Mytilus edulis: one gene and its partner. The protein of the gene in region 2 purifies or fractionates together with the protein of the main gene of each other region. This does not show direct contact. Links are inferred from orthologs where the notes say so. Each region holds a gene or a part of one and is shown on either strand. Other genes may lie near its edges.

Region 1 (7,832 bases), on a different chromosome or scaffold from region 2:
GGCTATTTTTAAGCCGAAAAAGTAGGGACGGTAGGATAACTGGAACCACATGTACACATATATTTTTATTTGGCCTAACGAAAGAAAAATCTGTCTCAAACAATTGACTTCAGTACAACAATCACTTTTCCATAGTGGAGTTAGACATGTCAGATGTTTTCTATTATGATGTCAAAAGTTTAACAGGACAGACAATTCATGAGGAGGGGTAGGAGGGGTCCTGATCAGGATGATCCTGAAATCCCAGGCATAGAACACAAAATCCTGAGGTTCAGAATTAAAATAAATTATTAAATCCTGATATCCCGAAATTTGAAAAAAAGAATTTCTGGATCCTGAAAGGGTCAATCCCGAAATCCTGAGCTTAAAAACACCTGATCCTGGAGTCCCGATAAAGGTCCTATCCCCCCTCTATCATTCAAAATGCAAATAAATATTAAATTCTGAATTGATTGACAAGGGTCAAATGACTTTGAATAGGAGTCCATTTGTACTTCTCGGACTGCTAACTTTAAACAAATATGAACATGATGAAGGTGTTATACATGTACTATAGACGGAGTGTTGGTAGGAGGGGTCCTGATCCTGAAATCCCGGGTTTTAAAACATGAAATCCCCAGATCCCGAATTTAAATCCACATATCCCGAAATTCAAAATACACGAAATAAGAATTCCTGGACACCGAAAGGGTGAATCCTGACATCCTGAGCTTAAAAACACCAAATCTTGGAGTCCTGATAAAGGTCCTATCCCCCCTCTATCATGATTGACTATTAAGTTACATGTATATATGTAGGACTCTAAAGTGCGATGGTCACGCTAAAGTGCGATGGTCTACGCTAAAGTACGATGGTGTCTCACGCTAAAGTGCGTTGGTTGTTAGTTCGCTAAAGTATGATGGTGTATCACGCTAAAGTGTGATGGTCCAAAGGGTAAGATTCAAGGGGTTAAAACATCGAGGTTAAAAAAGTTTTGCAAAAGCTAGTATGCTAAGGTATAACATATGTGATAGGCTTCATAATTTTCCGGTAGGCTTAAGTGATTGTTTCTAAATAAACAAGTTCAACCAAGTAATAAATGCTATAAAGGTACTAATTTATGTGTCGCAAAATATTAAATTTCATGTAAAATGAATTTTTAACAATTTGGAGCGTATTCATGGTATTGAATATTTGGATAATTGGTATATATTGTCGTTCACACCAATGTTACAACCTTCCTTAGAGTCGTCATTGAAAAATTATAAATACAAAATTCGTTCATTGTCGGACAGTCAGGGGACTTACTTAAACAAGTGATTTTCTAAATCACTGATTCAAGTAACATTATTTCCATAAAGGTTGGAAGTTAGAGTTGTCTTTCTTTAACAATCACCTATTTAAGTAGTACAAATTAATCACTAGAAGAAGTGATTTAATTTTATTGTAGCCTTAAATATAAAATACTAATGATCCAGGGACTAATTATGTTTCTAAACTTATCAGAACCAACATCTGTGTTGTCTAGGATAACCAGGTCATTTCAGGTGATGACCTTGTACTGAATCTAGGATAATGACATAAAAATCACTTGTTTAAGTATCAGACCTCAATTTCCTTCCCAAAAATCACTTCTTTAAGTATCATTCTTTTAATAACCCCTACTAATTTCAACACCCCTGAACAGTGAAATTTTTATCGCGAACAGTAAAATTTTATTGCATAATCTGAAAGATGAAACCTTGAACTTCACAGGAAAAATACTCCCACTGCTGTGAAAAATCTTTTAAGAAAGTATCAGTTCATTAAATAAAGCCATTATTATAGCATTTTTTCAACTAAAATGGAATTTTCAGCTAAATGATAGCATCAAAGGCATAAACCTTGCTACTTAAAAGAAGCCAAAAGTTCATATTTTTTAATTTTACTAATTAAAAGATATTATTTAAACCTATATGTGTTTAAAATTTTGAAAAAACTAAAAAATCCCATTTTGTGACAAAACCTCGAATTTGCTACTCAAATAAGTGATTTAAAAATCACTTATTTCAGTAAGTCCCCTGACTGTCGGAATATGCAACAATAATTTTTCTATTTATAAGCTTTTAATCATGTCAAATGCGAGAAAAAGGCAATGTTCGCCTAGCTTTCTCCTTTTTCTTAGCGAGTACAAATACATGTTTTATTTTCCTACAATGTACAGTACAAACAAATGTTTAAGCAGAAAATTTATAATTCACACATAAAAACATGTATGTCTATTTTACCGTCGGACGTATCTTACATTAAAATCAACAGCATTTTAACGAGGATCAAAAGTAAACTGCCACATAAACAATGCTTCAAATGTATCCATTTGCTTCTAATAGAAGCAGGATAAGTATGCCTAGACTGTTTTGTATGTATTTAGTAAATTTGTTCACACAGAGTACAAGTCCTTCCAGCACTCGAAAAAAACATAAACATTGCGCTACAGCCGACAAAGAACGGTTAAGTTTAAATAAATTACTAGTATTAAAGTCATGGACATTTATTGTAAAAATTGTTAATAAAATATTCTGAATCTATCTTCCGACGTGTTCATTTTTGGTTTGTATAAACGACTGATAACGTCATAATCAAACTACGTTTCTTACGTCTATACTTTCGCGGACCATCGCACTTTAGCGAATACCATCGCACTTTAACGTGACCATCGCACTTTAACGTGACCATCGCACTTTAGCGTCCCCATCGCACTTTAGAGTCCTACATGTATATGTAACATGTATAATGGAAATACATGTAATTTGTAAAGTTTTATAAAAATTATACATGTATATGTACTATATTTATTATTTACCGTTATAAATGGTCTTATAAACTCTCTTGAACCGTTAATATCTGTAGGTGAAATTTTTGCAAATCCACCCAACATTCCATCAACTGTTGGAGGAATTGATTCCCAATGTTTCTTTGCATCACCGTAAAATTTCTCTGTTCCCTGATCCATGTTGTTCTGGAGACTGGTTTCCTGTGTATTGAATAGATATTTTGCTTTCTTTTAAAAATTGTGGAAACCAGTATAACATTTTAATCTCTATACTGATTATTCTCAAAATACCTATTAATAACTTGAAGTGTATTTATTTTTAACAAAATAGTTTTATAATAATGAAATTTATTCTATTTACTCGTAATTTTAGGTAATTCATATTATTATGTTTGGTTGAAGACTATATTAAACTGGTTTTCGAACTTGTTATACTATTTTCTGATTTCAAGAGATTAAGGAACCAGATTCATAAATATTTTGCCATGGATGTCCGAATAGAATAAAATTTCAGTAGTTTTGTGTTTAAAATCAAATGAGAATAGTCCAAAATGCAAGTCGAAGAGGCCAGATACTTAAAAAGGTTAGAGATTTTTAGACGATTTTTGTTATTTGATCTACATGTACACATACTTAAATATTGTCATATTTATTTAATATTATTTAATTTTTATGGATATTTTTTTTTGTCTAACGGTTAAGCATCGTTCATTCAGTACTCAGTACTGCCAGAAGTATGTCAAGATGACATTACTATTTGTGCTACATATATAGGTGCCAAAGAAAGATATCAAAATGTCCTGTCAAGAGGGTAAGAATGCCCTTTCCTGTCAGTGTCATGCTTCAAACAGTCATTTTCAGCTATGGTAAGCGTCATAATTGTGATTCGTCCGAGGTCTCAAATAATTATTGTAACTGTTATTTTAAGAAAAAGTAAATGTGTTTTCGTCAAAACCAGTCACTTTTTTATCATATAAAACATGTGTAAAAGGAATGCATTTTATCTAAATACTTACAATGTATGTTGAACAAATCTATCCCATCAAAGACAAACAAGAGATACATGATACTACAGATACAGTTAATTCTGCCTCATATCTTAACTTACATCTAGAAATTGACAATGAGGGTCGGTTGAAAACAAACTTTATGACAAAAGAGATGATTTCAGCTTCCTAATTGTGAACTTTCCATTTCTATGCAGCAAATTTCTGATGATTCAAGCAGCACCTGCATACAGAGAATATATATCCCAATTGATAGGTTATTCCCTGGCTTGTATTTCCTATCATGATTTTCTTGATAGAGGATTACTGCTCACAAATGAAGCTATAGCTATTAAACCAAGAGGACTTACTGAAATAAGTGATTTTTAAATCACTTATTAGAGTAGCAAATTCGAGGTTTTGTCACAAATTGGGATTTTGTAGTTTTTGTTTAAATTTTAAACGCATAGGATTTCTTTTGCTAAGGTCGTCAAATCACTGCCTGGATTCAAACTTTTTACTCTGATTCTAAAATCAAAAATATCTTAATTAGACTCTGTTTCATGCATGTTTTTCATGTTTTTGTTTATAAATAAGGCAGTTATTTTTCTCGTATGAATTGTTTTTCATTGTCATTGTGACCTATGGTTGGTAATTTCTGTGTCATTTTGGTCTCTTGTGGAGAGTTGTCTCATTGACAATCGTACCACATCTTCTTTTTTTATAGTTAGAGACAATATATTTAATTTTTATTGGCTTTACATAATGAACTGATACTTTCTTCAAAGATTTTTCACAGCAGTGGCAGTATTTTTCCTGTGAAGTTTAAGGTTTCATCTTTCAGATTATGTAATAAAATTCTACTGTTCGCGATAACAATTTCTCTGTTCAGGGGTGTTGAAATTAGTGGGGGTTATTAAAAGAATGATACTTAAAGAAGTGATTTTTGGGAAGGAAATTGAGGTCTGATACTTAAACAAGTGATTTTTATGTCATTATCCAAGATTCAGTACAAGGTCATCACCTGAAATGACCTGGTCATCCTAGACAACACAGATGTTGGTTCTGATAAGTTTAGAAACATAATTAGTACCTGGATCATTAGTATTCTATATTTAAAGCTACACTAATATTAAATCACTTCTTCCAGTGATTAATTTGTACTACTTAAATAGGTGATTATTAAAGAAAGACAACTCTAACTTCCAACCTTTAAATGGAAATAATGTTACTTGAATCAGTGATTTAGAAAATCACTTGTTTAAGTAAGTCACCTGACTGGTGAAGTTGAAATCATCAATTTATAAATTTTACGGATGCCATCACGAGTTGGTTGACCGTTATGAAATAACCATTTCATAGATGATATCAGATATGTTCCTTATGTCGTAACTACAATACCCTTCCCTTTTCACGACTGTGACCTACCAAATTAGACTATTTACATGATTTATAACTATTTATCATGTCTACATTTAAAACATCTCTATTCTGTAAACATGGTAGAAACATATAAATGTAACTACGTTTATTACTATTTTACATTGGGGGATGATCTCTGGTCCTGCTGGTGCTCTGGAAGGGTAATCAGATTCAGCTCCACAAGAACCACCTGTCATGTTGGTCAGGGAATTACTCAATACAAAGTTGTGATTGAAGACGTAGATTTTGAGAAAATGCATAAATGATGCTTTCAAACAGTCAAGTGTAATATATTTCATGTATATTAGAATCTAAGAAATTTAATAAATTTGAGAATGGAAATTTTAACATTTTTTGTTATTTCAGAAAAGTAAAATTCAGTAGTATTGATGTTCATCCCACAGAAAAAGCTTTGGTAGTTAATTATGAACTGGAGGCAACAATACTTGGAGAATTGGGAGATCCAATGTTAGGGGAGAGGAAGGAATGTCAGAAAATGTACGTTTATACTTTCTTGTGTACTTTCTAAATGCTGTATGGTCACTGCAATGAGAAAAACAAATAAATTTAGTTATAATCTTAAAAATCCTTCTCTTCATTGTCTGATTGTAACTTACTTTAATTCAGATTTCAGATTCTTAATTAGATTTATAAGTAATATTACATTAGTCATGTTAGTGTTGTCCATTAAAAATCATATAACATGTATACTATATATACATGATATACAAAACAATATTTCAAAGTTTCACATGCAATGACATGTATAATAATATAATTGTAACCATAATTTTAAGAATTGTTTAAATAAGTTAGTCATGTACATGTTAGTAGTACGGTTAGGAGAATTTTTGAATCATATAAAAATTTGTTAAACTCAACCATCATATATAAGTACCATCTGTTTTAAAGACCCATATCATTAATGGGTATGTATATGTTACAGGGAATTTGTGAAATCAGTGATTTTTACAAAATCACTGAAATTTCAGGGAATTTGTAAAATCACTGAACTGATTAGTGATTTTATAAAATCCCTGATTTTGACTAGTGATTTTACAAAATCCCTGAAATAATTAAAATCTTTTTTACAGATTCACTGATTAAATTCAGGGAATTTGTAAAATACATTCGTTTTTTTTTATTAAGAATTTCTGTGAAAAAAGACTACAACAGTAACACTCAATATGTATGAGGTTAATCTAGTCTTTATTTTAATATTAAGTGAGCGGTTTTCATGCACAAACCAACTGACAATGTGACATACTTTAGAACAATGGCTCAGGCACAAATGTCTTGAAATCAAGAGCAAACATGTATACCCACAAAAGTTACTTCAAATAACTGAGGTAAAATTAAAGTGCAACATATGGAACCAGGGAAAATATGATAAACATTTTGGAATATTTTGTCAATGAGCCACAGAAAGAAGACAAAACAAGCTCTTATCACTACCGTGTTTGAAAGGAAGTTACTGTTTACTATAGTTTTTCTGTATAATTTCTGTAGAAAATAAAACCAATTATATCAATTTTTTTAAATCAAATATAAAAACTGAACATTAGGTTGATTGCTGTCATTAAAGAAGAAAAACACATATATATGTAAGGTATAAGAAATTGAGTGGGTTCGGGTATGTGATCCAGTGGCAAATATTACATGAATATCAGATCAAGAGCATCTTATTGCTGCATGAAAATTGTTATATAAAAGCAAATAAGTGTTGTATTATTAATTTGCTGCCTACAAAATAACATTTATATTCACAAAATAATAATAATAAAAAAGACAACAGAAAATATTGGTAACCTTGTTGGTGACCTTCTGCTGTTGTTTTTTTTTTCTATGGTCGGGTTGTTGTCTCTTTGGCACATTCCCCATTTCCATTCTCAATTTTATTAATAATTCTTTGTTTTGTACTTGCATGTTTGTGAATAGGTTAATCTAACCAAGCAAAAATAAACAAAGTTTTACCTACTTTGGTCATTTATCAGACACATGTATTCTATCACAAAGTGGTATAACTTTGAAAAAGTTTCTAAAATTTCTCAACTCTTTTAATCCAAATAAAGTAAATATTTTGTTGATAATGAAGGTATGAAGTTCTTCAATGTGAAGATTTGAAAAAAATTTGTTAAAAACGATATTCATCAGATGAAGATGTTTTAAAAATATTATGTATGTCTTGAAGACATGTACAGCATAGTTAAAAAAAAGGCACATATCAATAGCTTATAGTGGTAGGGATGTCACCCAAACTTGTCTTGTAAAAATAAGCAAATTCAGAGCAGTCTAAATACCCGTTTAAATGCCTTTTAGCCATTATCATTATACACAAGTTCTAGCTCATAGTGTTTATTAAACATGTTAAACAAATATATTTCTAAATCATAAGTGATCATTCATTTGGTCTCTTTATATTAAGAAAAACACATTTCTTATAGCATGCTATACTTAATTGTAATCAGGGATTTTACAAAATCCCTAGCTCTATTTTCAGTGATTTTGTAAAATCCCTAACAATTTCAGGGATTTTACAAAATGCATGAAACAGAGTCTAATTAAGATATTTTTGATTTTAGAATCAGAGTAAAAAGTTTGAATCCAGGCAGTGATTTGACAACCTTAGCAAA
Region 2 (7,878 bases):
TTATTCAAACCATATAAGTCGGTATGAAACACCAAAACGGAATGATAATATACCGATTACGTTTTGTAGTTTACAAAATTCTGGACTGGTTCCTGTCAAACTACAACACTTTGGTTCGAATGTAGTGGAATACAAACAGAAACCAGTTAGTTTGTAAACTGGTTCCTGGCTGATTACTACACAATGCTCATGCATAATGATAACACAAGCACATTCCAGTTTGTATTGAAATTAGTAAATACGAAACCAAGCGCGGTAGGCAGAGAAATCAGGTCGGCAGTTATGGAACAATGACTGCGTCATTTTCCAAAAAATGAGGTTATGAAATTTTTGGGAAATGTTATGAAATGTTATCATAGATATAGGAAGATGTGGTGTGAGTGCCAATGAGACAACTCTCCATACAAATAACAATTTAAAAAGTAAACCATTATAGGTTAAAGTACGGCCTTCAACACGGAGCCTTAGCTCACACCGAACAACAAGCTATAAAGGGCCCCAAAATTACTAGTGTAAAACCATTCAAACGGGAAAACCAACGGTCTAATCTATATAAACAAAATGTCTGTTCTGTTTCTCAAGTTTCAAAACAGCTACAAAGAAAATACCTGCTACAGGACGACACCATTATTATCGACATAACTGACACAATACAATCAAATAATAACTGAATGTCACCAACATGTACTAGTTTTATTTTAAATTGCAATTATATTTTTACAGATATAAATGTTTAAAAATATGTTTGAACATGTTGAATATAATCATATATTTTTTTTAAATTATTTCCATTAATCATTATAAAATTAGATGTTTAAATATTAATTTTATTTAGAAAACAATTTCTTTTAGTCAGTGCTTGTGTTAAGAATAGCTGATTTCTTTATTCTGTTGTTATTCTTAATGAAATAAAAATGTTCGGAATAAAATAAGAGTTTTTTCCTATACACACTTAAACTTTTTTAGTCTTTGATAGTTTTAGTTTGATTTCAATTTCAATTTTTATTTTAAAATACACGAATTAAGCCATTTTAATTAAATAAATGATTTGCTCAAGATGACTTAGGGCTATTCCAGAAAAAAATGTAGGGGGTGGGGGGGGGGGGGGGTTGTTGGAAGGCAGTTTTTGTCAGCACACGCCACCCAGACAATTGTAACTGAGAATTATAGTGCATTATAGTGTGAAAAGTTGCTCTGATACCCATCACCCATGTATTATTAATACAATGTGCCTTCCAACCCCCACCCCCATACATTTTTTTCTGGAATAGCCCTTAATATTTTCCTTCTGTTATTTGTAATTTTATAAATAATATTTTTTTAGTCTAATCTTATTTCACAATCAAATTGTGTATACTCTGCTAAGTGCTAAAATAAATTAGCTAGGACTACCTTGAGAATATTAAATATGAATACCAGTTAAATAAAATATTTCAGAAGATTTTTTAGGTATTTCTAACAAATTCAAGCAAAATGTACAAGAGTCAAGACTTTCTTATAAGTTGCTATTAATTGATTAATAAGAAATTTAGTATAATTTGATGGGATCCTAATTAAACTAGAAAAGGAACGAGATGTTGCCCATGTGATATTGGGCACACTAGGGCTGCAGGTCATCAGAATAAAGTAAACTGACCATAGTTCATAAACTAGAACAAAACCATGATAACATAAAATTGATTTCAGGACACTTTACCAAAAAATAAGACTATTTGCAATCATTCCCAATGACATGAATTAGACAACTTTAAAGAGATAAAATTCATAGAAGTTATTGGTCACCATATTTAATAATACTAAAATTTAAAGGAACCTATGTGATATCCAGTTATGGCAGACAAAGATATATATGGTGTATTAATTAAAGCTGGGAACAGAATATATATATCTAAAAGGAAATAAATCTGATAGGATTTTCAGTGTAAAGTTGATCAAATCCCAAACTTCCTGCGACCTTGAGTATGTCGAGAGATTGATGGATTTTGAAAGCGTCTGACTGCAAAACCATTGAGAATGTTCAATAAATTAACCACATTATTACAAATATACAACAAATTAAAGTTTTATTTTCAAGTAGATATACAATGTATTTTGTCATATAAAATAAGCAGTATACATTTAAGTGTGATTTATCTGATGCAAAGATCTTTATATTGGTTTGTGAATTTCACAGTTACTGTGAAGCCATTGCACCATTTTTTATTACTCTGTTTGCATTCAGTTCCGTGATGAAATGAATTCGATTATATAAATGACAAATTTGAAGTGACAGAAATCAAGTTCAATACACTGGCCTCACTCATTACCTAGTTTGAATGGCATGTCTTGATATTACTAGATATTATTAAGATAATAGCCATTTCATATTTTACACATTTTCATTTACATATCGTGTTATTTTTTTACCCAAAAAAAATGACGCGACAATGAAATCCTCTATTATTAGATAGAGTCAAGTCCCATCAATATATATGTTCTTGATCTAAGGCACTAAATCATCAGATCATATATTTTCTGTTCATCATATCCTTAATGGAGATGTGACAATACATTTTAAATAGCGCAAAACCCCATGCATAATATGGTATAATTATTTATCTGACATTCCTAGCAAACGTAGTCTATCAACACAGCCACAGGACATATATGTCACTAGCGTATTCAACATGTTCAAAGGCTTATCCCACATATTGGTAGTAGAAAGTTTTGAGAAACATAGGACTTTTCATTCCATGGGTGGGTAATATTTCACCATGCCCATGGCCATGGTATCAAATGAATGAAAAAAGGGGTACTCCAGAAGTTTTACAAAGCCCAAAAACTCATATTACCTCAGCCTCAATTTCTGATATTCTTTCCAATATACCCATTTTGAAGTTTACTGTAAAGTCTCAATTAATAAAAGTGTTAAAAATGAGAAAATGTGTTGAACAAAACTGAGGGAAATGTGTTGTAATTTTTGGTTCGTTCGGAATGGTTGTCGATGGAAAAATCTAAAGATTTCCAAATGAAGTAAATGACCCGGAAGCAGTCTGTGAGACGACTTTTATCGAGAAAAAAATCTGGGAGACAGATTAGCGTGTGCATTTCAAATCAGAGGTGCTTTTGCAAGAAGGCATATTATTTATTCTCTCTTTTTATTCAATCAATAATTGCATTTACTGGTGAAATTTTGCAAAATTTGACCTTAGAAATGAAAATTAGGTCAATCTTGCTCTGCGCATGCAAGTATCCGGGCGATTTCCAACATTTTCCGATGTTGTACTGCAACCGTTCAAAAGTGGACTATGTATCATCTGTTTCAGCGTGTATTAGGGCGACATTATAGTTAACCAGACCATATTTAGATATACTTTAGTTTCCTATTATATAACATTTTCGTTGTGTATTGTCTTTCGTGTAAAACTTCACAAACGGGGCTCTGCCCTGCTGAAGGTAAGCCATCAATCAAAAATCGACAGAGATGAAAACAATGCACTTATACTCTTGTTCTCCCTCTTTGTGTAAAGTCAATCTTTTTGGAAATCTTGATTTGTTGTAATGACATGACTCTTACATCATTTTAATTGTTCCGTTTCGATTTATTTCAGATACTAAGAAATGTCTAAAATTGTTTACAAATTTAATTACTAAATTAGTATAAAATTGTGTTAGCATGGTAAGTGAAATATAATATTGGGTTACAGAAAACCTTTCGACTGTTTTCAAATGATGTCTTTCCAAGAAAGACCCAAGTATAGTTTTATCAGTAGTAAGTAACAATTTACCTTGCCAATCTGTCATGTCTGTTAAAGGCTATTTAACTTTTAGCTATTTATCCTCTGTAACGGAGTAAACAGCTTGGTGGTGTCATAGTAGAGTGTTAGCCTCGAGTGAGGGATGTTGTGAGTTGGAACCTCTGCCGGGTCAAACCAAACACTTTAAAATTGGTATTTGCTTCTTCTCCGCTAAGGACGCTGCATTTAAGAATAAGAGCAGAGACTGGTGGAAATAATGTGTCCTGGTTAAGTGACATTCCTTCAGAGCTAGCACGTTAAAAATCTGGCTCAATGTGTCGGTCTACATACAAAGCAGGGTAAATCTTAATATTACATTAACATGTTCTCTTATTAACATGTTCCCTTCCTAAATATGCTTATTATCATGCCGCTGGACGTTAAGCAGCAATCGATCGATCATCCTCATCATCATCAAGGAAATAATCTGATTACACTTTTAATAATCCCTTTGGAGTTCTGTGTAGTAAACAATTTTCTAATATGGCAAAAGCGAAATGTGTTGATGTAACAGGATATTTGGCAAGTCTGCCTGCCCTTATAAACCTTAATCCTTATTACATAAATGTAATACATTTGATAATGGAAACGTAATGTGTCAGAGACAACAACTCATCGAAAGAACAAAAAAACATCCCATGGCCACATTTGGTCTTCAACACAGACAAATGACAGATTAAAAATCCCAAACCTGGTTGGGGGCTTCAGTTATTTTTTTTCGCTTTTTACGTATGTACCTCAGCACAAACCTGTGTCACTTACGTTAGTATCAGCATTATATACAAGTCTTTTAAAACTTAAAACAGACCTGTACAAATTGAAGAATTTCATAGTTTACTGGTCTGTAGTTTATCACGATTATTTCCCATTGTATTTTGATGAATTTAGTTATAATGAAACAGGGATCTCCATGGATGAAAATTGAACGATGGAGGAACTTTCATATCACAAACCGTGTCTACGCTGTATAGTGTAGCGCGATCTGAAGTATTTTATCCCTCTATACAAGGAATGGTGAACATGCTAAATCATTGCTTATTTAAATTATATTTATTTGAATTTTCATTATAGAATTTGAAGTATCAATATTTTCATTTATTGCCGTTTTTAACCATTCAAATGCCAAGTCTTCGTGGTCCCCCTTTAGTCGAGAATGACCAAAAGCTGTCATGAAGGTCCCCATGTAGATTTCTTGTATTTTTGGTAATTGTTATGGGGGTTAAAAATCAAATGATGTGGAGCTTATTTTTCATGGACAGTTGTCATATTCAGAAATTCAGAACCCATTACCGGTATGGCTGATTTGCAGCAACAACAAAACGATTCGTACGGGTTATGTAAAAGGTTAAAGAGATTTGTAAAGCAAACATTGACAAATGAAAACGTTTTTAATGACTTTATCTGTCAAATTGATGCTGTGCAACATGCATCTTTCGAGTCTGAATAGAAACCGGAAATGCGGATGTATCAATTTGATTGTAATATACGAAATGAATTCGGAATTACGATACGATATTTCTTTACAGGAAATATTTAAGTTTTTACTTTTAAACTTTTAAAGTAATTCTAAATTATCGTTACAGCAGTACTAGTATTCAAGTTATTTGCAATGAAATAATATTTACTGTTTTGCGTCTTATTTTGTACTTCTAATTAAAAAAAGGGGGATGCTGATTACGTAAGTCAAAATAAAGCACGTGTTCGACTTGTTAAACTGTTTTCTTTGTAACTGGATTATTAATTTTTTTATTTAATCTAAATTATCATAATCATTTGCTAAAACTTAGTTGATTAATTCGACAAATGGATCGTCTTTCCTCAGATAGTATTCTCCTGTGTGGTTTGTTGATCTACCTGTACAAGCTCAGGTACAAGTGATTAGCGATCTTAATCCGGATATCCCTCAGGCGTTAGAACTGTATTGGATTATAACATAAAAAGCCTAAGGGTTATGCAATTACATGCATTTGATTATAATTGAAAAAAAAATGGCGTCGGGCTGCAAAAAACGATGAAGTTTTTAACGATGGCGGAAGACAATGTAACGATGGCGCAAGACAATTTAACGATGGCGCAAGTCATTTGACGATGGCGCAAGACATTTGAACGATGGCGGGGTGCCATCGTTAAACAGGCCATGGAGATCCCTGATGAAACCAGTATCAGTTATTCATGTGCTTATTCTTTGGTTGTCTATGTTGTGTTTTTTCATGTTTTGCCATGGATTCATCAATTTAAAGATTAAAGGTGGTATTGTGGCCAAGAAAATGGCTATCCACAAGAGTTTTAAATAATGTGGATGTAAGCAATTATAGGCAACTGTCATGACTGTACCACCTTCAATAATGAAAAAAAACATATATATTATAGGGTATAGTCAGCTTTTAAAGGCCCTACTGACTAACAATTTTGTTTGAATGCCTCTTTGGTATCTTTTGCTTTCTTTTTCAAGACATACATTTTGTAACCAGTCTTTGAATATAGCATGCTAGACTCCATGTCAAAAGCATTATGATCATGATGATGTAAAGCATTAACTAAATGCAAACTTTCATAGTAGGTTGATAGTTTGGTCATGGAGGGCTAATCAGTTGACTTTAATATTTAATTGATTTCCTGGTGTAACATTAGACATTTTCTGTATGAATAAATTTTTTTGTGGAGAGATATGTGACTGTAAAATGTTTATTATTTCAGAATGGAAAAAGAATTTAATTCTGATGACAGTGGCAGGAATACCCCAAGAGAGGTTGTTCTGACAAGGTCTGATACACCTGGACCTACACCAGCATATATCTACAGTAGGGTAAGTTGTTAGAGGAACATCTGAGGTCTAACATATGGTAATCTTTGACCATTTGTGAAAGAAACAATTCAGAAGAGTCGCAGTACAGAACTGCCAGACCAATTTGCATCAAAACACAATACATTGTATTTACTCTTTAGTATTACAATATGCAAAACAATGTAAAAGAAAAACTATTGCAGTCTTGACAAGAAACTTGGTCAAATAAGAGGGTATTTGGAAACATCATCAGGGTCAAGGTTCCGTAGTCATACTTCATGTACTTCACACATTGGCTGATAATTTAACAAAAATGTGTTCTAGGAAACTCATTTTTAGGATGAAAACAGAAGGGCATGATAGTTGTTGATAGATATATATGAAGATGTGGTATGAGACAACTGTCCATCCAACATGTCCAAGTCACAATTTATAAAAGCAAACCATTGTAGATCAAGGTACGGTCTTCAACACAGACACTTGGCTCACATCGAACAGCAAGCTATAAATGGTCCCCTAAAATTACTATTGTAAAAGCATATCATATAAAAACCTGAAATCCTTCAATATCCAGTTTGAAACCAGTATATTAATGAAATTTAACATGCCATACTTTTTTTGATGTTCATTTATAATCTATTTGTTTATGTTTGTATACGATATATAACTATATTTTCTTATATTTCTATTGTCAAGTCTAAAAGTTACTTCAAATTGTTAACACCAACAATGTTCCTATTTATACTTTACTGGTACATGTTTTTGAAAACAAAATGATACATTGTAATTGGTTGTATCTTGATTTTACAGGACCAGTTGTATGAGTTTGCCAACAGTAAAACAGCAAAGAAAAGACCAGTTTGTTTGTCTACTGATTATGATAAGTATGCAGTATTTACTTCTAATGTTAGAGCTATTCTAAATCCATTTATGTGGAGGACCCATATCCAGTAATAAAGAGCCTCCAACACCAATTTTAAATACAACGACCCCTAGTTACATTTTAATATTAAATGTATTGACCCCTATTTTAAAATCTTAAACAATGAGCCTTACCATGAAGTCATTGAACATGTTAAAAAATGCATTGATGATCTATATATGGGTTTTGAAGCAAAAGGTAGTTTCACTTCTGCAATTAAAAAAATTAAAAATAAATCTCAGTTTAGAAGCTTGATATGAAAATAATTTTGTAGTTACACATGTTAAAATACAATAGTTGTTTGCATGCAGAATCTCTGCTTTTACAACTGAGGAGATAACTCTGTAAAAATCAGCTGTATTTTTTAATCACTTTCTATTGTTTATTGAAATATT

What was found. The genes of interacting proteins can lie anywhere in the genome.
Region 1: the proteins of GTP-binding protein 128up-like (region 2) and N-terminal Xaa-Pro-Lys N-methyltransferase 1-A-like purify together in Homo sapiens (affinity purification with mass spectrometry; 3 studies listed by BioGRID and IntAct, counting the BioPlex papers as one, with this or other methods). This does not show direct contact. The link is inferred for Mytilus edulis from reciprocal best matches to the Homo sapiens genes DRG1 and NTMT1.

The regions. Positions count from the first base shown.
Region 1 is NC_092345.1:945,791-953,622, forward strand, and holds the start of N-terminal Xaa-Pro-Lys N-methyltransferase 1-A-like, read right to left. Parts: upstream 3,014-7,832; 5' UTR 2,972-3,013; coding exon 2,822-2,971; intron 1-2,821. Other genes in the region: kinesin-associated protein 3-like, read left to right, coding at 3,343-3,374, 5,566-5,697, 7,782-7,832. UniProt on the Homo sapiens protein: Distributive alpha-N-methyltransferase that methylates the N-terminus of target proteins containing the N-terminal motif [Ala/Gly/Pro/Ser]-Pro-Lys when the initiator Met is cleaved.
Region 2 is NC_092349.1:11,807,639-11,815,516, forward strand, and holds the start of GTP-binding protein 128up-like, read right to left. Parts: upstream 3,017-7,878; 5' UTR 2,871-3,016; coding exon 2,832-2,870; intron 1-2,831. Other genes in the region: eukaryotic translation initiation factor 4E transporter-like, read left to right, coding at 3,017-3,099, 6,474-6,582, 7,372-7,445. UniProt on the Homo sapiens protein: Catalyzes the conversion of GTP to GDP through hydrolysis of the gamma-phosphate bond in GTP. Appears to have an intrinsic GTPase activity that is stimulated by ZC3H15/DFRP1 binding likely by increasing the affinity for the potassium ions.